4 linked regions of the Saccharomyces cerevisiae S288C genome follow. The protein of the gene in region 3 interacts with the protein of the main gene of each other region in a biochemical or structural test. Each region holds a gene or a part of one and is shown on either strand. Other genes may lie near its edges.

What was found.
Region 1: the proteins of CTK2 (region 3) and CLC1 form a complex in vitro, tested with the Saccharomyces cerevisiae proteins (one large-scale study listed by BioGRID).
Region 2: the proteins of CTK2 (region 3) and YKR018C form a complex in vitro, tested with the Saccharomyces cerevisiae proteins (one large-scale study listed by BioGRID).
Region 4: the proteins of CTK2 (region 3) and EFM5 form a complex in vitro, tested with the Saccharomyces cerevisiae proteins (one large-scale study listed by BioGRID).

Annotation. Positions count from the first base shown.
Region 1 is NC_001139.9:830,748-836,377, forward strand, and holds CLC1 (clathrin light chain CLC1), read left to right. Parts: upstream 1-1,708; coding exon 1,709-2,410; downstream 2,411-5,630. Other genes in the region: TRS65 (Trs65p), read left to right, coding at 1-1,450; PEX35 (Pex35p), read right to left, coding at 2,605-3,735; pseudouridine synthase PUS6, read right to left, coding at 3,942-5,156. UniProt on the Saccharomyces cerevisiae protein: Clathrin is the major protein of the polyhedral coat of coated pits and vesicles. In yeast, it is involved in the retention of proteins in an intracellular membrane compartment, presumably the trans-Golgi. The yeast light chain is important for cell growth.
Region 2 is NC_001143.9:472,282-479,463, reverse strand, and holds YKR018C (uncharacterized protein), read left to right. Parts: upstream 1-3,563; coding exon 3,564-5,741; downstream 5,742-7,182. Other genes in the region: ALY1 (Aly1p), read right to left, coding at 1-230; VPS51 (Vps51p), read right to left, coding at 632-1,126; IRS4 (Irs4p), read left to right, coding at 1,401-3,248; E3 ubiquitin-protein ligase HEL1, read left to right, coding at 6,115-7,182.
Region 3 is NC_001142.9:420,872-427,057, forward strand, and holds CTK2 (Ctk2p), read right to left. Parts: upstream 3,239-6,186; coding exon 2,267-3,238; downstream 1-2,266. Other genes in the region: chaperonin-containing T-complex subunit CCT8, read right to left, coding at 1-792; YJL007C (uncharacterized protein), read right to left, coding at 1,827-2,141; CYR1 (adenylate cyclase), read left to right, coding at 4,286-6,186. UniProt on the Saccharomyces cerevisiae protein: Cyclin subunit of the CTDK-I complex, which hyperphosphorylates the C-terminal heptapeptide repeat domain (CTD) of the largest RNA polymerase II subunit.
Region 4 is NC_001139.9:494,707-499,856, reverse strand, and holds EFM5 (protein-lysine N-methyltransferase), read left to right. Parts: upstream 1-1,822; coding exon 1,823-1,857; intron 1,858-1,919; coding exon 1,920-2,398; intron 2,399-2,491; coding exon 2,492-2,724; downstream 2,725-5,150. Other genes in the region: SWC4 (Swc4p), read left to right, coding at 1-1,381; ERG26 (sterol-4-alpha-carboxylate 3-dehydrogenase (decarboxylating)), read left to right, coding at 3,355-4,404; ERP6 (Erp6p), read right to left, coding at 4,690-5,150.

The sequences.
Region 1 (5,630 bases), on a different chromosome or scaffold from region 3:
TGAGAACAATGAAAATCTATGGAGGTTGAAAAACGACTGCTGTTCGAAGATTCTTTTCAAATCAAATGTTGTTATGAATAATGGTTATAATAATCAGATCAAATTTGTCTTTGAATATAAATCTGTGGATGCAAATTTCAATAACCAGGATTCATTACAAGATCCACAGGCAAAGTATACATTAGATAAGTACTCTAGCGAGGAGATTTTGCCAAGTTTTGAGCCAGTTTATTCCTGGTCTTCTGCAGCCACCAAATCATCCAAAAATACTAATAATCATCTGGAGAAAAATAACAGGGCGACTCATCGAGTTAGTTCTAAAAATAGCGAAGTCCACGAAGCGGACGTTTCTAGAAATCCGAATACATTTACTCTTAAGCTCCAATACCCAATATTCTCACTTTTGAATATGAGATTGAGAAACATCTCCTTGAAATCTGAGCATTGCATATTATCATCGTTAGACTTTCAAACTTCTAAAGCATCCGAACAACTGACCAAAAAATTTATTTATCCGCAAGAACACAATTCTTTTCTCAAACTGAACTTTCAAGAAATATCGTATAAACTAATCGACGGAACCTCTCAAATTGAACTAGATCCAATCTGTCCTTTGAAAGTGCCACTCACTGCATTTTCATACGATAGCATTAGCGCTACTTTTAAACTGGTTCTGTTACCCAAATCAACTCAACCACATCGTGTGAAAATCACCTTAGCGTACGAACTCGAGCTGCATCCCAATCTGAAGTTACCTGTGAGAACATCATGGGAAACAGAAGTCACATTGAAGCGTTCTATGCCAATTTCCTCGACATCTTCTCAATACTCGAGTAACAACAATAATACCAATCATAGCGCTTCTTTTAATGGTGCGGCCAACAACGTTAATTCTGGTGGTTTGGCCAATCTAAGATTAGGTGGGGTTTCCTCCTCAAGATTTAGTCTTGGAGCTGCTTCGACTACATCATTGGTGAATAGCAAATTAAGCAATGTAAAATTCAAGTTTATTAATAGCAATATAAAAGTTATTAAGGGCGAAAAGTTTACTATGAGGCTTCAGATCATTAACTCGTCATCATCCCCCCTGGATCTTGTTGTGTATTATAACAATACAATAAACCCAATCCCTTCAGCTAATAACGTACGTAACAGCAATGGTATAAACAACTGTGGCATGAATAATGGGACTATCCCCAATTCGCCCTTGACACTGGAAAATCAGTACCAACTGCATAATAAATATAGAAAAATTGCGGAGGGGATTATACTATTATCCAACGATTACAAAATTCCAGTTGTACCTCCGAGAGAAACATACTTCGCGGATTTACGATTTATTGGTATTATGTCCGGATATTATGGCACTCTCTCCGGACTTAAGGTATTGGATTTAAATACAAATGAACTTATAGAAGTTGGAAATGGCGCATCTGTGTTAATCCAGTAAGCGGAACAAGTATACATTTTATTAACATAGACTACATACTAATCTGTAACATTTCTATAAAAAAGTTATTATCATCACATTACACGATAGAAACACTTCCATATTTTTTTACACTGAAAGGGGCACCTAGAAGATTAAACAACTAAACTGAAAATATACGTGCTAGAAAAAGGGTTTTACAGCTTTACTTAGGCGTTGCGAGTCACCCAAAAGAGCAGTTGAAGGACGCCGCCGTTTCACTAGATACATATATATATAATGTCAGAGAAATTCCCTCCTTTGGAAGATCAAAACATTGATTTCACACCCAACGACAAAAAAGATGACGACACCGATTTTTTAAAAAGAGAAGCAGAGATACTTGGAGACGAGTTCAAGACTGAACAGGATGACATATTGGAAACGGAGGCTTCCCCCGCCAAAGATGATGACGAAATTAGGGATTTTGAAGAGCAATTTCCAGATATCAACTCCGCAAATGGCGCAGTCTCGAGCGATCAAAATGGTAGTGCTACTGTATCTAGTGGTAATGACAATGGCGAGGCAGATGATGATTTTTCCACATTCGAAGGTGCCAATCAGAGTACAGAATCCGTTAAAGAGGATCGTTCTGAAGTTGTAGACCAATGGAAACAACGTCGTGCTGTAGAGATTCACGAAAAGGATTTAAAGGACGAGGAGTTAAAAAAGGAATTGCAGGATGAAGCTATCAAACATATTGACGATTTTTACGATTCTTACAATAAAAAGAAGGAACAACAATTGGAAGATGCTGCTAAGGAAGCTGAGGCTTTCTTAAAGAAAAGAGATGAATTTTTTGGTCAAGACAATACGACCTGGGATCGTGCACTTCAATTAATTAACCAAGATGATGCCGATATCATTGGGGGTAGAGACAGGTCTAAGCTTAAAGAAATTCTTTTGAGATTGAAAGGTAACGCGAAGGCTCCCGGTGCTTAAATGATGATGAATAATAAGAACCATAATGAACTAAGGAAGAGAAGGGGCTTATTCCCTATCATTCCCGTCATACATGAGTATCATACTTGATAGGTTCAGTAAATAACTAATTCATACTGTAAATTCATTTATCAAGACAACTATAATATAGATTATTTACAAACTTGTAAACTCTTCTCTTCTAAAAAAACACATCACATAATACTAAGCTGAAACAAAAAGAATAGTATATATTTCCCAAAGTTGCAATGCCAATACTTTTTCAAGTAAACATTAACCAAGGACTTCGCAAAGAATTTTGCGAAAAATGGGCTGATTTTCATTTTACTTGTTGGATCCACGAAGGTGAATGTAAGAAGCATCACGATGCACCGCAATTTGTTGCCCATTAATCTGCGCCTTTTCGTGACGAATAAATATTCGATACACTGCCTTAATATAGTCCATTTTAGACTTGGAAAAAAACCCTTGGTGAAATATGAATTTATTATCTTTTCGTTTATATTTGCATAATTATCATCAATTGTAACTTCATGTATTTCATTTAGTCTGTCCATTACATGCTTCAAATTTGATGAAGATATGGGCCAATCATTATGGTTCTTGACCCCAAGGTATTGAGAAAAGTTCCTGACTTCGTGGCCGCCGACATTCTTATTTGATTTCGTCCCTGAAGTAAAAAAGAATTTTAATGTTCTGTGATATACTGCCAAAACTGTGAAAATGGCATTGATTGTGAAGAAATCTATTAAAAATGGCCTATGGTCAAAAAGCACACGGAATGGTAACGAACTCCTGTCCAGTTTGGCAAATAATACAATAATCGCTAAACACACAAGAATTTGCTGGAATTTTATTAATGTACCCTGGGAAAAATTTTTTTTTTTCAACCATTGTGTTAATTTTGCGATCTTTAATTTGGAGGCTATAGCTTCCACAAGAAAGTGTGCGATAATCCACGAAGGTACCTCACCCTTGGTAAGCATTAACGATATTCCTACAATGGAAGACCAGTGAATATAATGATTTTTTAAAAATGGGAACTTCATCAAAGTTGGATATAGTATGTTCAGCAAGACTAATATAGTAGACTCTCTTAGCCATGGCATGATATCATTTATTTGAATATTTTCACCCTGTAATTTTTTCAATTTCCATTTTTTGACATAAAATACTAGGTTTATTCCATAGACTTGGGTTATTCTTTTCAAGATGATGACGAGTTGTTTTCTTCTCTTCTTGTTCAAGAGGAGTAGAAGCCTTCTTATTATCTGCTTGAAGCCAGAAACTGCTTTCCCAGTACCATTTGGACGATTGTGTTTCATATAGTTAGCAAGTGTATACTCTCATTAGCTCTGTTCGCGATGTGTATTTCGTGGTGCTTTATATAGGGTTTTTAACTTTTCCCCATGAACATTCGCTGTTATGTATTCGCAACTAAAAATAATGTCTCTCTTTAATTTTAATTTACATCCAAAGTACGGAAATGGTAACTAAACTATATACAAAAAAAGTTCGCTCAAAAAAAAGTTTAACTATTGTCCAATTGTGCCCATTTTGGTAAATCTGTTTTGAACTTGAATTTGCCATTAATCTCCTCATACTTCCAAGCATGCAACCATAATTCTAGGTCTGATAGCACAGGATCCTTTAAATCAACAGTATGACATTCAGGACAAAATGTTTCCATTGTCCGACAATTATTTTTTGTCTCATCGACAAATTTTTGAAACCTCACTTTCAATTCCTCAGCATCTAAATCCTGCTGATTCTCCCATCTAGGAAACTGAGTTATAAACTTAAGCCTTTCGGGGTATTTTGTAATATGCGAACAATAAACACTATCGTTGACGATGGGATGACCGAGCCTAGCTAAATGGATTCGAATTTGGTGTGTTCTTCCAGTTATTGGCTTACAAGCGACGACAGTTTCATCAGCATGAGAGAAGTATCTTATTGGGTAGAACTTGGTAATAGCATCCTTCGATGTCGATAAACCAACTGGAAACTGTCTCTTTGGATCGATAGAATATATGGGTGTCATTTCCACTGTAACTTTGGAAGTGTCCTCAAAAGTCGTTTCCGCCGCATTTTCATTGTCCAATATCAATTCGGAGTGAGGAAATCTTCCCTTGACCCTTGCCAAGTAGATCTTAATCATATCTCTTGAACGAATACTCTTCTGGATTTCCCCCGCACTCTGACTGTTCTTGGCCAATATCAACAAGCCTGATGTGATCTTGTCTAACCGATAACAAGGAAGAGCATCTACACCATGTAACTTCAGTAATTCAGTAATTGTGTTCTGGTAAAACTGACCGGTTGGATGCACTGGTATACCACTGGGTTTATCAATGACGAGGATACTCTCATCTTCAAAAACAATATTGAATCCCGCTATTCTGCCAGGTAAATCCTCCGCTTCAACTTCCTGGCTACACCATTGTTTTACCGGCGGTTCGTGCTTATGCGTAGTTGTTTCTAAAACATCATGATTCTTGATTATGGTAGTCATGAGATGATCTGGTACCAGCGGCACACCATCTCGGATCAACCTATATGTGCCTTTCCTTATTTGGTCCAAATAATAAGCTCTTGGGCGAAGTTTAAATTCACTAACGAGAACGTCTATTAGTAACTTACCCAACCAGCGCCCCTTCACGAACGCTGATCTTCTGTTATAATAGGGCCGTACCTTTCTCAGTCCATTCTGTGTATATACCTCAATAACTTTGATAGTTGACATACTTGACAATCATCCTTTTGCCCACTGATTGTCTCGAGCAATCGTCAATAAAGTTTTCACAAGAAACATTTATTTGCCTTTTAATGAAAGAAAAAAAGTAAATTTTTCATTAACTTTTATCATTGTTATCAATCTTCTTGTATGACAGCAAGCTATATATACATACATATGCAAATCTAATGTACATAATTTCAACTATTCATACCATTAGTACCATAAAGTCATTCTTTTTACTGTAAACTACACTTGCATTATCCTTCCTCGTCCCTCTTTATTCTTATAACGTTGAACAGTGATTTCTTACCATGTGTATTTTTGTACTCAACCCGCAAAAGATAAGCATCCTCATACAGAAGTATTATTATTACCACTGTTACTTTTATTGTCGTTATTTGTCTTGCGTTTTTATGTTTATGGAGATAAAGTGGGAATGACTTTATCATATGCAATTATTAGCCGCTATAAGGCTAAGAT
Region 2 (7,182 bases), on a different chromosome or scaffold from region 3:
TTCGGTTTCAACACCCTGACGATAAGAGATCCTCGTAAGATACTGGGGGCTATTTCAGACAGTCCGTTAGTTTCAAATCCTTTTAAAAACACTATGGGTTCGGCAAGCTTTACAAAGACTTGTAGTGTTGTTGTCTGCACCAGTGGGACGGCATCAGGTGCTGCATTTATATCTTGCTCCATGGGAAACACTGGAGCTACAGTATCATTTTCTGTATTGAATTGGAGCATGTAGTCATAGAGGAACAAGCAATATTCTATGGGATTCCAGCGTATTTGTGCGGAATGGAACTTTCTGTTGGTTGTCTTTCTTGTTGCTTGTCTCTTATTTCAACGAGTTGTTCCCATTTTTGATAAGATGGGGATAGCGAAATAAGACAAAAGAGTCAATATTTGGCAATTCGCTCAAAGAGGTAAAAAGACGGCGCTATTATATATCTGCGTATATATACTACAAACAGCCGGGAATACATTTGGCAAAGTCCTCGTACGACAATAGGGCAATTGCTAGTAGTGTTAAGCAGTTTTTCAGGTGAACTTGCAAACCGAAAAAGAGGAAAAATTGGTTCACATAGTAAAATGCACTCTCTCGAAGGAAGTGTTCGGTGAAAGCCACGATATGCCGCTGGAAATTACAGTTCCTTGATTAAAGATTCTACTGTTTGCTTCAACTTGTTAATTTGGTCTTCATTGGCGTTTGTAATTTCTTTGAGAAGGTCGTTGACTTTTATTAGGTCATAATAGTTTTCGTAAATGGTATTCTTGATAGAATTGTTAGTCTCGGTTTCTTTGCCCAAGAGCTTATTGTGAATTTGTACTAGCCTCTTAAAGGGCAGGTTCTTTATCTCTTCTTCTGCATCTTCTGACCCCTCCTTGAGATCCTCTTCAGTTGCACTCAATTCGTCATCTTTCACTGGTTTCTCAGTGTTTGCTTCGGTATCTATATTCACATCTGTGACTTGCTCCTCCCCAGAATGAGCCTCGCTGGCTTTTTCCCCTATACGTGCTTCTTGACGACCTTTATTCGGTTCATTTTCCAAGTTGTAGAATTCTCTTAAGAGCAATCTTCTATCTTTGTTCAGACTGCTCACCCTCAGGGACTTTTTGTGACTAATTTGTTCTGCCATCTGTACTTAATATCCTCGTCAGATTCCGTCTCACCGCAAATACGCCTCTTCTATGCAGAGCCTCACCTATACGTACAACTTACTGCCTCTTGTTTCCACGCAGCGAAAATTCGATGATTTCTCGTATAAAGCATATCGAAGTTGAATCATCACAAAAAGGCCCATTGTGTAATGGACCCTTGCCACAACAACACTCTCGTTGCACAGGTAGAACATACTTTTAAGGCCTGGGTAGATTCATTTTTTTGACATAGGAAAAGATTAGCAGAGGAGTATGAGACTTTCGTTTGGTAAACAGCGTTATCATGGCGGTACAACAGTAACTTTGACTGAACAAGGAGCTTCAGATTCCCTTCGCGCTGCGCAAGCTATCTTCCAGAACCATTCCAATGAGGTCAGCAGTCCATGCCCTCCAGTAACGGTGAGCAGGAATCCTCAAACTAGGTTATCAGAGCCATCGCTACAAAAGTCAGGGCGGAAACAAGAACAAAAGAAGGCACGCATACGAACAAAACAGGTACCTAAGATTAAAACAACGGCGCCTAATGATGTTGAGTTGTCTAAGAAACACAGGTCAAGCCCTGCAGGTAAAGATAATGTTAGTAGTACTGCTCAAATGGCAGCTGCTTTAGCGCATTCACAATCGAAACTTAGTTCTGACAATAACTCCTCCCATTCTTCGGCATTGGATACACTAAAAGTTCTAGAAACTCCGAACTTGAATGGCTTGCTGGGCATTCATTCACGCTCAAGCTCAAGAAACGGCTCCAATGAATCACTGACGCCTGGCCAAAGAACTCCCGACAATAGATCTCAAGAGAATTTACTTACTTCCTTTAGTAGCGGTAGAAGGCTATCCTCGAGCTCTATGGAGCCTGCAACTAATAAAGACAGCAACAAAGCTCTGCCCAAACGCAGGCCGTCTCCTCCCTTGCAATCATCACTTGTCGGCAGTGGTCAGCTTCATGAAAATGAAAACCTATCATCAATTAGCATCGATTCCAGACATAGTCTCAATCCGGACACTTCAGACGTTATTTCTAATAGGTCACAAACAAGTCTATCTCAAACAATTAATCAACTCTCGTTATGTGAATCAGAGCCATCTATTGCAAGCTCAAACACTACTACTACAACGAGCAACCAGGGAAGTGGTTTGCCCAACTTGGTTCCGAACTATTCATCCGATATGAGGAAGAAGAAGCTTGTTAACAAGTTCAAAAGGAAAGTATTTGGTAGTAAGCCCAAGCACTTATCTTCACAATATGAAATGGATGCAAGCAGCGAAGAACTGGGACAACATGAACAACAACCGAGTATGAGATTTAAAACAACATTACGTAAAACCTCTGTAAGTACAAACGCAGAAAATGATCATGCATCCTCTCTACATGAGGGAAATCTGAGGTATAAGTACAATCCGTCCAACGACACGTATGATGTGTATGACGATACTGATTCTGATTCTGAATCTGATCAGAACCAGGACGCCTTGACCAAGCCACGCAAAAGAGATAGAATTAAGAGAAAGATCAGGAATTCTGCCAATAAAACTGCACATCATAGGCCTATCCACCGCACGAGAGATCGGAAATTCAATGAGGATAAACCCTGGAAATCACATACAGATATAACTTTCGTAACAGACAACGAAAGGAAGCGTTACGAAAGCATGTGGGTAAGCAACAGACACCGTCATTTGAACCTGTTGAGCTGGTGGCCCTCTATAACGGGTGATTCCGGAGCAATTAATACTTTACCCGAAGATGGATTGATATTGGGTATCATAGTCCGTGATATCTGGAAGCGGTCTAACTTGCCCAATAGTCTATTGGCAGAAATTTACACGAAGGTAGACACAAGAAAAGATGGTACTTTAGATAGGAAATCTTTTATTGTGGGTATGTGGCTGGTCGATCAGTGCCTGTATGGCAGAAAACTTCCCAATGTTGTCGAGCAATGCGTTTGGGATAGCGTAGATAGATATGCTTCCACCACGGTTGTGCCAGTGAGTACGCTAAAGGCGATGGCCAAACAAAAGAGAAAACAGATGAAAGAAGAAATCAAGAATATCAAGAAGGAAAACCGTGTAGTTCTTGTAGACCACAATAGCTCGTCGTGACGAGTGTGACTCGCACCACTTCGTAGGTAGACATATACAGAAGTATATATATATAATGCGTAATTCCCCCACTTGTTACTGTTAAGCTAATCGAATTGTCATCTCAGAAATCTTGTTCGAGATAAGGCCAATCTTACTAAAAAAATGTCTATTAGTCTTCTCTGTTATTATTATTCCCGGCTTTTTGCTTTCTTTCCTTTTTTCCAAGGAAGGGGGCAAATTCGATCAACTAAAAAAGAGGCATCGTTTATTCGGATGCCACCACTGAGACGATCCACAGGCTAATTGTGACTAGTGGATCACAGAACAACCAAAATGTTTAAAGTGTTTGGTTTTGGTGCGAAGGAAGAGATTCCTGAGCTTTCACAGGAAGAAAAAACTAAAGCCATTCTAAAACAAGCTCATGATTTCGAACAGGCACTGCGTGCGATGGACTATGTCTTAGATGATAATGCTGACGAGGGTTTGGCTTTGCTGGATGAGAGTGATGCTAAAGAAGCTTCCGACCAAACTATAAATGCGTTAGCTCGTGGTGTCATTGAATTTTTGGAGGCCACTTTAGGTTTTGAAGCTGAAGAGATGAAAAAAGCTTCTGCGACTTTGGCCAAGGCAGAAGCTTTATCTTTGAAAAGTAGAGAGAGGGCTCAAAAAATTGGATTGAAGAGCAGTTCTTTATATCCTCCAGGAACAGTTTATGCCGTGACTTATACAGAATCATGCCTTCTACATGCCCTATTGATGATTTTCAGTGAAAGTATGATGGAGGCGGCCAAGGCCATTTTAAAGCTCAGAAAGTCGTACTATATGTTACAAGAAATCTTGGAAACTATTAAAGCTGCTAACAAAGCCAAGAAATTGAAAATTACGTCAGGCAGTGAAGATAAGGAGTCCACCCCAGCGACTTTCATAACTGGTGGCGATGCGTTCAATTCCGTTGATATACCTTATGAACTGACTCCTGAAGAACAAAAGGATAAGGATCTTTTACAATTTGCTGAACAAATTCATAGCATGAGGACTGAAAGATTATCTGGCGCCCACATTGGCAACTCTCCTGCAATTAACAGGTTGAGAGGTGAGCTAGGACTACAAGCAATGGAAGACTTGCCAGAAGAGGAAATAACAGATCATAAAGTTCTTTCGGATGATATAGATTTAAGTCAAGCAACAATTGATGAGTTTGTCCATTCTGGTGTCAATTTATGCTTTGGTATTTTACAGGTTGTGATATCACTATTACCACCCGCTATTGGCGCGGTCCTATCTGTGGTTGGATTCAGGGGTTCCAGAGAAGAAGGTTTGAGACTTGTTTGGAAAGCCACAAAGCAAAGAAACGTGCATGGTTGTATTGGTTTGTTAGCCCTGATGTTTTACTATGATGGACCTTTCCAATTCACTGACGATGATTTTGATATTCCTGCAGCAGTTAAGGATTCCAGTAACAGTGAAGATTCTGAAGATGAAGAGATGGATGGCCCTACGTTGTTGCATCCTGGGAAAATACTGGAAGATGCGTTGCTGCAATCAAGAGCGCTATTTCCCAATAGTGCGCTATGGTTATTGAATGAGGCAAGGATGCTATCTGGTAAAGGGCGTTTAGAGGAAGCAGTCGCATTGATGGATTCGATTGATGTTAGCAAGATACGGATGAGACAGGTCAAATCCTTGATGATTTTTGACCGTGCTATAACATTGATCCATTTGCATCAATACGATAGAGCTGCAGAAGATATTTTATCGCTATTAGACATCAGTGATTGGTCACACGCTTTTTACACATATTTTGCTGGCTGCTGTTATTTAGAAAATTGGAGAATGTGCGAAATGGGATTAATGAAGTCAGACAAAAAGGATGAATACCAAAAGAAGGCCGAAGAACTTATCTTCACCTCTGTGAATTTGCTAGGTAAGAAAACCTTCAAATCGAAGAACCTGCCATTAGATAGGTTTATTCTGAGAAAAGTTGAGCAATTTAAAGCGAAAAAGGAGGAACTTGGGGTGGAAAATCCTCTGGATGGTATCGCTACTTCACCAGTACACGAAATTGCGTACTTCTACAATGGTTATAATAGAATGTCTGAAGAGCATTTGGAGCTAACAAAGAAAATGCTAACTGAGTATAGAAATCCCGCCATTGAAGCTTTAGACTCAGATCAGGAGTTAATCAAAGATCTCTTGGTCTCTTTGACATTAAGAAGATTAGGTCATATCCAAGAAGGTTGTGATATATTGGATGAAAAGGTTCTACCTAAGTTTTTCTCCATTCAAAATGGCAAGGTCAAATATATAAAGAAAACTGAAGATCCATGGGCCTATCCGACTGCACTTTATGAACGTGCTCTATTTACATGGAAGTTGGAGGGCATGGATGGCCTTCCAGAGAGTAAAGAATGGTTACTGAGGGCTCAGGGCTACGCAGATGATTATGAATTGAGTACGAGAGTAGGTATGAAAATTAAGGCTGCCATTGACCGCGTTGACCATTCATTGTAATCAAGTTTTGATCAGCCCTCATGCCCTTTTTTTTAAGAAATATTTTCCCCTATTAGTTTTCCTAATGTCCCACCTAATTTTAAAGCGCTAAGCTATACTTATTGACCGTACATACCTTGCGTAGTTTAATTACATACGATTTGATGCTTTCTCAGTGCCATCGTCCTTCCTCCTTGCGCAAAAAATAGGAACCCGCTTTAGAAAAGAGGAGAGGAAGGTGAAGAATGCTGTGAGTACTGCCTTAGTTTTAAGGTAGCTACATTTGTATTGATTTGTTACTATCCCAGCTACTATACAGGAATTATAGCCATTCTTTAAGTATATTTAATTTGTCTTTAGCGAATTTGGGTGTACTTGTTAGAGGCTTTTAACAATGAGTAGTGGTACCGAAAATGATCAATTTTATAGTTTTGATGAAAGTGATTCCAGCTCTATTGAACTTTATGAATCTCACAATACATCTGAATTTACTATACATGGACTAGTTTTCCCGAAGTTAATTAGTGTAACAAGCCAAGATTCAGAATTTGACATCAATGAAGATGAAGATGGAGTCGATACCATATATGAGGGGATGCTAGATGCTCCTCTTACGAAAAACAACAAAAGAATACTGTGTGAAGGGAGTGTACCGAATCTCAGTTATGAATGCTTAACCACCAAGGGTATATTTGAAAGAATGCTTCAAAGGGTTGACCATTTACAACCTATTTTTGCAATTCCATCTGCGGATATATTGATATTACTACAGCATTATGATTGGAACGAGGAACGTTTGCTAGAAGTTTGGACCGAAAAAATGGACGAATTGCTTGTGGAGCTTGGCTTAAGTACCACAGCAAATATCAAGAAAGATAATGATTATAATTCACATTTCAGAGAAGTTGAATTCAAAAATGACTTTACATGTATTATTTGTTGTGATAAAAAGGATACGGAAACATTTGCGTTGGAATGTGGCCATGAATATTGTATCAATTGCTACCGTCATTACATCAAGGATAAGTTGCATGAGGGGAACATCATTACATGCATGGACTGTTCCCTGGCATTGAAAAATGAAGATATAGATAAAGTGATGGGACATCCTTCGAGTAGTAAGTTGATGGATTCTTCAATCAAAAGTTTTGTTCAAAAACATAATCGTAACTATAAATGGTGCCCGTTTGCTGACTGTAAATCCATCGTGCACTTGCGAGATACGTCATCATTACCAGAATATACCCGTTTGCATTATTCACCTTTCGTTAAGTGTAATTCATTTCATAGATTCTGTTTCAATTGCGGATTCGAAGTTCATTCCCCAGCAGATTGTAAAATAACCACTGCTTGGGTTAAAAAAGCCAGAAAAGAATCAGAAATTTTGAATTGGGTCTTGTCCCACACTAAAGAATGTCCAAAATGTTCTGTTAATATTGAAAAAAATGGTGGCTGCAACCAC
Region 3 (6,186 bases):
AGTGCCTTTCGTTTCAGTATTGGCTATGTCAAGCGGACAAGTGAAAACTGCAACTTTATGCTTTTTATCTTCGGATAATGATTTTACATGGCCTTCAGGCTCACGATTGAAAACCATACCTTTGATGACGGTAGAATTGGAAAGCGATCCACCCATAATCTTTACTACTCTGATAGAATCAACATTAAAATAAGGAATTTCTCCAGCTTGCTGAGCAACTGGTAAAACGTGAGATACAGCTTCAGAAACAAGTTCACTCAATATGTCTTCAGATCCGTACTTTTTGGAGGAGATGACTGGTTTAATCATTTTCAAAAGTTCGTTTTTATCATTCTTGTCAGTAATTTCACCAACAACCATTTCGTCTAGTTCTTTCAAAGTAAACTTCCTTGCCATATTATAACCTTGAATAATCTCAACGGCAGACAAGCCCATTGAAATCAGTTTTTCGGACACATTTAATAGTTCGCCAGCCAAAATCATGACTAAATTTGTACCGTCTCCCATGTCGATCTTCTGTTGTTCAGTCGCCATTACGAGGACTTTCACTGCAGGATGGACAATATCTAGTTCTCTTAGCATGGTGGCCGCGTCGTTGGTAATAATGATTTTACCGAGATGGTTAACAATGATCTTGTTTCTACCACAGGGTCCCATAGAAGTCAAACACATTTGATGTAATTCGCGAATGGCCGCAATTGATTTAATAATTTGGCCATCGGCGTTAGAGTAACTATTGTAGCCTTGTTTAAACAATCCCGCGTTGGGATTTTGTGGCAATCTAAGTGACATGGTTAATTGATGATTTTATTGCCCTTGAGGTTCAAGTTGTCTTGTCGGTATCTGTAAAGTGAGAACATCATCATGCTATACTATTTTCTTCACTTTTTTTTGCCACTAGCGGAGGTGATGAACATTTTCGAATACCGTTAATAATGACAAAAACACCATTAACTTGGCTTATATAAAATAAGCTATTGAAATAGTAAATGTGCTCGCAACTCTTTAATTATCTAAATCCGGCAGCTTCTTTATTGATTAATAATACAAAATGTTCGGACAAGTGATCATTAGATATCAACATGAATTCAATTGGTAACAATTTCGATGCTTACATTTTATGCTAGTATACACCACGCATATGTCTGTCAATGTACCTATTACAGAAGGAAATGTTCAAGAAGCAGTTCAGACAGTACCGAAGCAGAATTAAAAATCCATTATTTGAATATGATCTGATAGTCATATATATGAGCAATACAGGTCTTCACATTAAATGTATGAGAACTGCCGGAACCACTATTACATTGGTCACAATTAGGAATGAACCAATCGGCGTGTGTTTTATATCCCCCTTATATAAGTCTAAGAAGATCGATATTCAATCTTCATTAATAAAGCTTTTTGACCTCTACCTATGAGCAATAAACCATATCCATCAATAGTGGTCAAGCCGTAAGAATGTTTTTACCGAGAATAGAAGTAAACTTTTCTTATTGTATATAAGAAAAGCATATAAACACGCGCCCAGAGAACATATTCAGTATGCCCTAGCTTGGAAACACATCAGTAAAATACTACGCGCCTAGTATAATGACTTCTATATCCAAAATTTTTAAGTTAACCTTTCAAGTAAAAGATCTTTGCCTTATACTACTGTCTGAACAACTCGTATAAATTAATGTATGATATGAACATTCCCATTGTTACGATAGATGTCCTAATGAGGATCAACTATAATCTATCGAATAGTATTCATATTACTAATATATTATCATGTACGATGTACCAAGATGGCATGAAGATTGAGAAAACAGTCATCAGATTTAATAGATGCTGAAATGCCAGGACTGATAGTGTAACAGAATAATGAATGATATCATATAAATTGGGGAAACAATAATGACAATATTATGTGAAAATATCAATTCTCTTTTGTGGATTACAAGATCCCCTGGAGAACTTCTAGTATGTCCTGTATACCCGGTGCTATATCCTTTAATAACCATGGAATCCGCAAATATTTGATGTAAAGTTTGTTTTTCTTCCCCAACATCCTTTGTATGCTTCAGTAGCTCAGTAGGAAGAGCGTCAGTCTCATAATCTGAAGGTCGAGAGTTCGAACCTCCCCTGGAGCACATTTTCTTTTTTTGTGAATTAAACCTCGAAGCTCAACATTCATGTTTTGAGATAAAAAAAGGTACTTATTACTTGTGTAAAAGAAAGTTTATAATGATGATCTTATTTAAGTTTATAGTAGGACTTTCTATGCATGTCTTGTAGAACTATTTATGCTGGACTCGCCATTAATTAGCTCCAGTGAAAGTACATATCTTCTTTCTTGGACATTATTATCTCTAGTAATAGTGATATAAGGATCGGCATTCAACAGGTGATCTGGTATTTGCGGCAATCCAGATTCTGGTCCTGCGTTTTTTTTCAGTTCCATAAACCTTTCAACGCCAATCGGCAGCAAATCAGCCGGTAAATGACGTTGTAGATCGCACATATCGAATGAATTGATGTAAAAATTGACTATATCAAAATAAGCTTCATTTACGGATTTCTCGTCTGTTTCAAATAAAGAATACCTTTTACTTGACCAATTCTTATTATCTAGTAATTCATATGCTATTTTCAAAATGGCCAATGCAATGGAATGTTGGGGTATGACTAAAATAGTTTCTAGCTTCAAAGCATCATAAGCAATTACCCAAGCCAGATTGCACAACTTATAATCAAAGGATAGCTCCCTACCAATTTTTATAACATATTCATCAATATGAACGTAATTGTTGACTCTATAATCGAATGAGCATGACTCTAATATCCGAAGTTCTATTTGAAATACCCTTTTTTTAAAATTTTCCAAAATGTCCGTATTGATTTTAACCACATTCCTCAATCGTAATGACAAAGTACATATATCATTTGTTTTTTTAATTGTCTCAACTTCTTTACAGCCCAAAGTCAGGCAGCTTGTCGCTACAGTGTAGCAAACCTCGGTCTCGAAGCGATTAAAGAGGTGGTATCTTTGGTAAAAGTATACTGCTGTTTCTAAAGTCTTCCGTGGAAATTTCAGCTGAACACACAAGTCACTTAGAAATTTGAACACGGCAAGTTTTTTCTGGTTGTAATTTCGATAGTCCGATATTGTATTCTTTTGGGCTCTTTGAATTTGCCTTTTAGACAGAAACGGTCTCGAAAAAAAAAGCTGGGATTCAAACGTGCTAGGCATATCAAAGTACGTAATTTTCTTAGTTTTGCTGGCTCTATATCTCCTCTCGCTCTATAGATACAGATATATATATATATATATATATATCTATGTGTATAAAGACGGCTTTCAGGACAGTACTTGTTTGGATTTTTGATCATCGCGGATTTTCGCAATGCAAGTATAAAGAGAGCATTACCCGCCACACAGTGATTCTTCAGCAAGTTGTACCGAAAAGGACCATTTAGGTACGTGGGATCGCAAAGGTTCCCAAACGGTGTGCATCAAGCCGTAGACTTCATGAGTGCTTTCGGTGCAGCAAAAAGATAAGGACAAAAAATACTGAAGGATGCGAGGTTCGAACTCGCGCGGACAACCGTCCAACAGATCTTAAGTCTGCCGCCTTAGACCACTCGGCCAACCCTCCATCTTATTTAAAAATCCTAGGAAATAGATGTTATATAAGTCATACATCATTGAAAACATCAAATACCGTTCCCTGCGTTGTTCTACAGAAAAGCGCATTAGAGTAGGTCATACCCTTTAAAAAATGATTTTGTAAATGCCAGAAAGTAAACAAATATGCATTTCGCCTAGCTCCCAATGTAAATAGCCATAAAAAAGGATAAAATGCCAGATTTAGAGTCAGTTCTCGTTCTTCTTCTTCTCTGTGTTCAATTGTTCAATTGCATTGTTAATCACTGAAATTCTATGTTTCAAATTGGAATGGCAGACTGAACTGAGACCTTCCTTACTTTCTCCTCTATCAAACCTAAATATTCAATCATAACCTTATTTTTTCACTTCCTTTTTCTTACTTTTTTTTTTTTTTTTTTTTTGTATTTTGGAAGGAAAGCAGGGGGGACTTACCATAAGAAAAGCGACTCTAAAAAAGTGTATTTTCTTCCAAAGTTCAGTAAAGACAGCTGGGAAGTATAGTAACAGAGGAGAGAAAGCATAAGGAGACCTCTTGCTGCAGTTCACAACCAAAAATAGCATATCTTTACTATTGTCGCTAACCATTGCGAAACGAGCTAAAGCAACAGCAAACGAAATCCCTAGGTCGAAATGTCATCAAAACCTGATACTGGTTCGGAAATTTCTGGCCCTCAGCGACAGGAAGAACAAGAACAACAGATAGAGCAGAGCTCACCTACGGAAGCAAACGATAGAAGCATTCATGATGAGGTACCAAAAGTCAAGAAGCGTCACGAACAAAATAGTGGTCACAAATCAAGAAGGAATAGCGCATATAGTTATTACAGCCCACGGTCGCTTTCTATGACCAAAAGCAGGGAGAGTATCACTCCAAATGGTATGGATGATGTAAGTATTTCGAACGTGGAACATCCAAGGCCGACAGAACCGAAAATCAAAAGGGGTCCATATTTACTGAAGAAAACATTGAGCAGTCTTTCAATGACGAGCGCGAATAGTACTCATGATGATAATAAAGACCACGGTTACGCTTTGAATTCATCCAAGACGCACAACTACACATCTACTCATAACCATCATGACGGTCATCATGATCATCATCATGTTCAGTTTTTTCCCAATAGGAAGCCATCATTAGCGGAAACCCTATTCAAAAGGTTTTCAGGGTCAAACAGTCACGATGGCAATAAGTCAGGAAAGGAAAGTAAAGTTGCTAACCTTTCCCTTTCAACGGTAAATCCTGCACCTGCTAATAGGAAACCTTCTAAAGACTCCACTTTATCTAATCACTTGGCTGATAACGTGCCAAGCACTTTACGAAGGAAAGTGTCCTCATTGGTACGTGGTTCTTCCGTCCATGATATAAATAATGGTATTGCAGATAAACAGATTAGACCAAAGGCTGTTGCGCAATCAGAAAATACATTACATTCATCCGATGTTCCCAATAGCAAACGCTCGCACAGAAAAAGCTTTCTGCTAGGCTCCACATCTTCTTCAAGCAGTAGAAGAGGTTCAAATGTCAGTTCAATGACTAACAGTGACAGTGCAAGTATGGCGACGTCGGGTAGTCATGTTCTCCAACATAACGTATCTAATGTTTCTCCAACTACTAAAAGTAAGGACAGCGTTAACAGCGAATCCGCCGATCACACTAATAATAAATCCGAGAAAGTGACTCCAGAATATAATGAGAACATTCCGGAAAATTCTAACTCTGACAACAAACGCGAAGCCACAACGCCTACTATAGAAACACCCATTTCATGTAAACCATCCCTTTTCAGGCTAGATACAAACCTTGAGGATGTTACTGATATTACAAAGACGGTGCCACCCACCGCTGTCAATTCTACACTAAATTCTACACACGGGACTGAGACTGCCTCACCCAAAACGGTGATCATGCCTGAAGGTCCTAGGAAGTCGGTGTCAATGGCTGATCTCTCCGTCGCTGCCGCAGCACCTAATGGTGAATTCACATCAACTTCCAATGATAGATCACAATGGGTAGCACCTCAAAGCTGGGATGTGGAAACCAAAAGGAAAAAAACAAAACCTAAAGGGAGATCGAAATCAAGAAGGTCAAGTATAGATGCTGATGAACTTGATCCCATGTCACCGGGGCCACCTTCAAAAAAAGACTCTCGTCATCATCACGATCGAAAGGATAACGAATCAATGGTCACTGCGGGTGACAGTAACTCAAGTTTTGTTGATATATGTAAAGAAAACGTTCCGAATGATAGCAAGACCGCACTCGATACTAAATCTGTGAACCGCTTAAAAAGTAATTTGGCTATGAGTCCCCCAAGTATACGATATGCTCCATCAAATTTAGATGGGGACTACGACACGTCTTCCACTTCCTCATCTTTACCGTCCTCATCTATTAGTTCAGAAGATACATCTTCCTGCAGCGATTCCTCTTCGTACACTAACGCGTATATGGAGGCCAACCGAGAGCAGGATAATAAAACACCGATCCTGAATAAAACGAAATCGTATACCAAGAAATTTACATCCTCTTC
Region 4 (5,150 bases), on a different chromosome or scaffold from region 3:
AAGTCCAACTAATGGCCAGGTATCAGTGCCTTCGTCCTCGGCAGCCAACCGGCCCAAGCCTCAAGTGACGGGCATGCAAAGAGAACTATTTAACCTGCTAGGAGAGAACCAACCCCCCGTTGTTATTAAGTCTGGAAATAACTTTAAAGAAAAAATGCTTTCGACGTCCAAGCCATCTCCTTGGTCATTTGTAGAGTTCAAAGCTAATAACTCTGTGACTCTGCGTCATTGGGTCAAGGGTTCCAAAGAATTAATAGGAGACACACCAAAAGAATCGCCATATTCTAAGTTCAATCAGCATTTATCTATTCCATCATTCACCAAGGAGGAGTACGAGGCTTTTATGAATGAAAACGAAGGAACTCAAAAAAGCGTAGAAAGTGAAAAAAACCATAACGAAAACTTTACTAATGAAAAGAAGGATGAAAGTAAAAATAGCTGGTCTTTTGAAGAAATAGAATACCTGTTCAATCTCTGCAAAAAATACGATTTACGTTGGTTCCTGATCTTTGACAGATACAGTTATAATAATTCAAGAACACTTGAAGATCTCAAAGAAAAATTTTATTACACCTGTAGGAATTATTTTAAAGCAAGTGATCCTAGCAATCCGCTTTTATCTTCTTTGAATTTTTCAGCTGAAAAGGAGATAGAGAGAAAAAAGTATTTACAGCGTCTTCTTTCTCGTTCTGCAGCAGAAATTGCTGAAGAAGAGGCACTCGTAGTAGAGTCCAAAAAATTTGAAATGGCTGCCAAGAGAACACTTGCAGAAAGAGAATCATTACTCCGACTGTTGGACTCGCCACATTCAGATCAGACAATTACACAATACCTTACCTCTCAGGGAATGTCTCAGTTATATAACGCGCTTCTAGCAGATAAAACTAGAAAGCGGAAGCACGATTTGAACATCCCTGAAAATCCTTGGATGAAGCAGCAACAGCAGTTTGCCCAACATAGGCAACTTCAACAACTGAATGTAAAAAAGTCAGAAGTCAAGGAAAATCTCTCCCCCAAGAAAACCAAAAGACAAAGACAGGAAATGCAAACGGCGCTCAAAAGAAAGTCAGAAAGCGCATATGCAGAACAATTGCTGAAAGATTTCAATTCAGATGAAAGGAAGGCTTTAGGTGTGATTACGCATGGTGAGAAGCTATCGCCGGGTGTATACTTAAGATCTACAAAATTATCGACCTTCAAACCTGCGCTGCAGAACAAAATTCTCGCCATTCTTCAAGAATTATCGTTACCTTCTCGCCCTGTGATGCCCTCATTTGATGTAATGGAAAGACAAGAGGAGCTTTTGAAAAAAATCAATACGCTTATCGATTTAAAAAAACACGTTGACAAATACGAAGCTGGTATGTCAATCACCAAGTGAACATCAGAAAATGCTTTTTGCTAGCACGTATGTGATTAAAATTTTTGCGTAAAATAGACTGTTTTATAATATTTGGTGTACAACATGGGACCTTCAGAGGTACTTTCGGAAATCACGCAAATATTATGCACTAGTAACCCTCAATCTCTAAATAACTTATATTGTCATCTGTAAGGCAGCAAAATCCAAGATGGGCAATGTATATAGGTATATAGTTTAGTATTGTCATCTCATAGAATATCAACTGCATAATATACATGTATATATAATTTCCCATTCATTTAGAGGCTTCTTTTTTCGTCTGTATCGCTGAACCTTATGCCGGTTAAATCTAACAAAATTTTTTTGAACTGGAGGAACTAAAAAAAAAAATATTAATCTTGACTAATATACTAATCAGTCACTTTACATCTTAATGAAACCGAAAGAATCACTGATAAAATGTCCGACTCCGACTCCGACTCCGATTATGAATTGTAAGTACAGGATATTTTCAACACAGTAACGTAGAATTACTAACTAACACGAAACTTAATAGGACACTTTCTGCTAATGCCCTCGCTGCCCTTGAAGAATTCAAAAGAGAGGAACAACAACATCAAGAAGCCTTTCAAAAGCTTTACGACGAAACGGATGAAGACTTCCAAAAGAAAAAAAAAGAAGAAGGGATGAAGCTTTTCAAGGAAGATTGGCAGCTTTCCCAGTTTTGGTACAGCGATGACACAGCCGCAATTTTAGCAGATGCCATATTGGAAGGTGCGGACGAAAACACTGTAATTGCAATAGTTAGTGCGCCATCCGTCTATGCTGCCATTCAAAAGAAACCTACTAATGAAATTCCAACCGAACATATCTACTTGTTCGAATTTGATAAGAGATTCGAGTTGTTAGCTGGAAGAGATCATTTCTTTTTTTATGATTACAATAAACCACTGGACTTCAGTGATGAAATTAAAGGAAAAGTTGATAGATTGTTAATTGACCCACCTTTTTTAAATGAAGATTGTCAAACAAAGTGTATGTATATCATAAACATATCCCTACTCATTTTTTAATCTTTTTTCCAGTATCTTTTCATCTTACTAACTGTTATTCATTGATATAAAATAGCCTCTATCACTGCAAAGTGTTTATTAGCGCCAAATGACAACTCTAAAACTAAGAAAGGAGTTTTTAAGCACCGCCTCATAAGTTGTACTGGTGAAAGAATGTCTGAAGTCATATCCAAAGTTTATTCTGACACAAGAATAACAACTTTTCTTCCTGAACATTCTAATGGTTTGAGTAACGAATTTAGGTGCTACGCAAATTTTGAATGTAGTTCATGGAAATTTGCTTCTTGAGCTTTTTAAGAGCTTCGATAAATTTGAAAATTAATTGTACTACATAAAAAATATGTAAACATCAATATATATAATATAATCACATTTCAAATATATCACGTGTTATATTTACTATATAAAAATTCAATAAATAAAAAGTTAGAAGATAAAAATTATATTATACATATTTTTATTTTTATTATAATTTTTGTTTTTGCCTTCCGAAAAGAAAATAGTTTTTTGTATTACGGAAATTACAGAAAAATGTTTAATTTTGATTTCATATTTTTTCTTTCTTTGAAAGAATATTGACGACAAAGTATTGGATAATTATAATGCAAGGAAAGGATATTTGTAGATCTTCGGTTCAATGAAAGTTAATGCGGTATGAATATTGCTTTCTCCAGGACCTTTTTTTTTTTTTAGAGGCTATTTTATTGTCGGTGTTTGTGGATTTTATATTTCTCGGTCCGATAGTCCCTATAGATCGTTTATTGTTCTCTCGAGAAATGGTATCGTTTAAAAATCTCATATAAGCCTGCAAGGAAAAGATTATGCTGCAGCTATAAAATAGAATAGACAACAATATAGATTGTCAATTTTGTCCAATTTTATTTGCAACTCTACCTGGAAGGGCAAACAAAAATAAATATGTCAAAGATAGATTCAGTTTTAATTATCGGTGGTTCTGGTTTTCTTGGATTGCACTTAATTCAGCAATTTTTTGATATTAATCCTAAGCCAGACATCCACATTTTTGATGTTAGAGATCTCCCTGAAAAACTTTCAAAACAGTTTACTTTTAATGTAGACGACATAAAATTTCATAAGGGTGATTTAACATCACCTGATGATATGGAAAACGCAATTAACGAAAGTAAAGCAAATGTTGTTGTTCATTGTGCTTCTCCAATGCATGGTCAAAATCCAGATATTTATGACATAGTGAATGTTAAGGGAACCCGTAACGTGATAGATATGTGCAAGAAATGTGGCGTTAATATACTTGTATATACTTCCTCTGCTGGTGTTATTTTTAATGGGCAAGATGTGCACAATGCAGACGAAACCTGGCCAATCCCAGAAGTTCCTATGGATGCGTACAATGAGACTAAAGCTATCGCCGAAGATATGGTCTTGAAGGCGAATGATCCAAGCAGTGATTTCTATACTGTTGCTCTTCGTCCAGCTGGTATTTTTGGCCCAGGTGATAGGCAATTAGTACCTGGTCTAAGACAGGTTGCGAAATTGGGGCAGTCGAAGTTCCAAATTGGTGATAATAACAATCTATTTGATTGGACTTATGCTGGAAATGTTGCTGACGCGCATGTGTTAGCTGCACAGAAACTTCTCGATCCAAAAACAAGAACTGCTGTCTCGGGTGAAACTTTTTTCATTACCAATGATACCCCCACCTATTTTTGGGCCTTGGCCCGTACTGTGTGGAAGGCAGATGGTCATATTGATAAACATGTTATTGTTTTGAAAAGGCCAGTTGCAATTTGTGCAGGTTATCTTTCAGAATGGGTATCCAAGATGCTGGGTAAAGAGCCAGGTTTGACTCCATTCAGAGTCAAGATTGTGTGTGCATACCGTTATCACAACATTGCTAAGGCCAAAAAGTTGCTAGGCTACACACCAAGAGTTGGTATTGAAGAAGGAATTAACAAAACGTTGGCCTGGATGGACGAAGGTTTGTAATGGCAATCGTTAGGAGCTTTTTGATCCGATTATCGAAAGATAGTATGTTGAAATAGCATATCTGATACGCACCGTATATATTTATTCTGTCTTTATAGATGAATAATAAGAATTGAAACACCTAAAACATCTTGATGACTAGGTTAGTATATATATGTATACACTCATTTAATGACTACACTATGAAGCGTCGGGGTAATGCATGTAAATAAATAGAAATAAATCATTGAAACAACGAAATTCTCATGTATGCCTGCTAAGGATTCAATTTTTTGATATGTACGGTCATAATACTTTCTGCTTAACAAAAAACGAGCGTAAACTTTTCATTTGCCATACACAAATTATAATGAGAAGAGTAACTTGAGTTACCGTCCACCACATTGCGCGAGAATTCACAGACTCTGATATGTCTCTAAAGGATTCTTCACGTTCTCTCATCAGTTGTTGCTCTCTCCTGATATCCACGATCTTAGAATTCAATATACTGACTTTTCCGTGCAAACTTTCCAAGGTTTCTTTTCTTTGCATGTCCAACATTGCTTCAAAACCGACTTCAAATTCGATTTCTAACTTTGTTTTGGTTTTCCCTACCCAGTTATTTACCCTAGACTGTAAACAGATCTTATATTCTCCAGATTCCAAAGCTAGAAAGCTGAAGTCACCGGAAGGAGAGCCCTGTTGGTGGACTACCCTATGATTATTATCAAAGACTTCTTCCACATCTATGACAATGCCATAGTCAT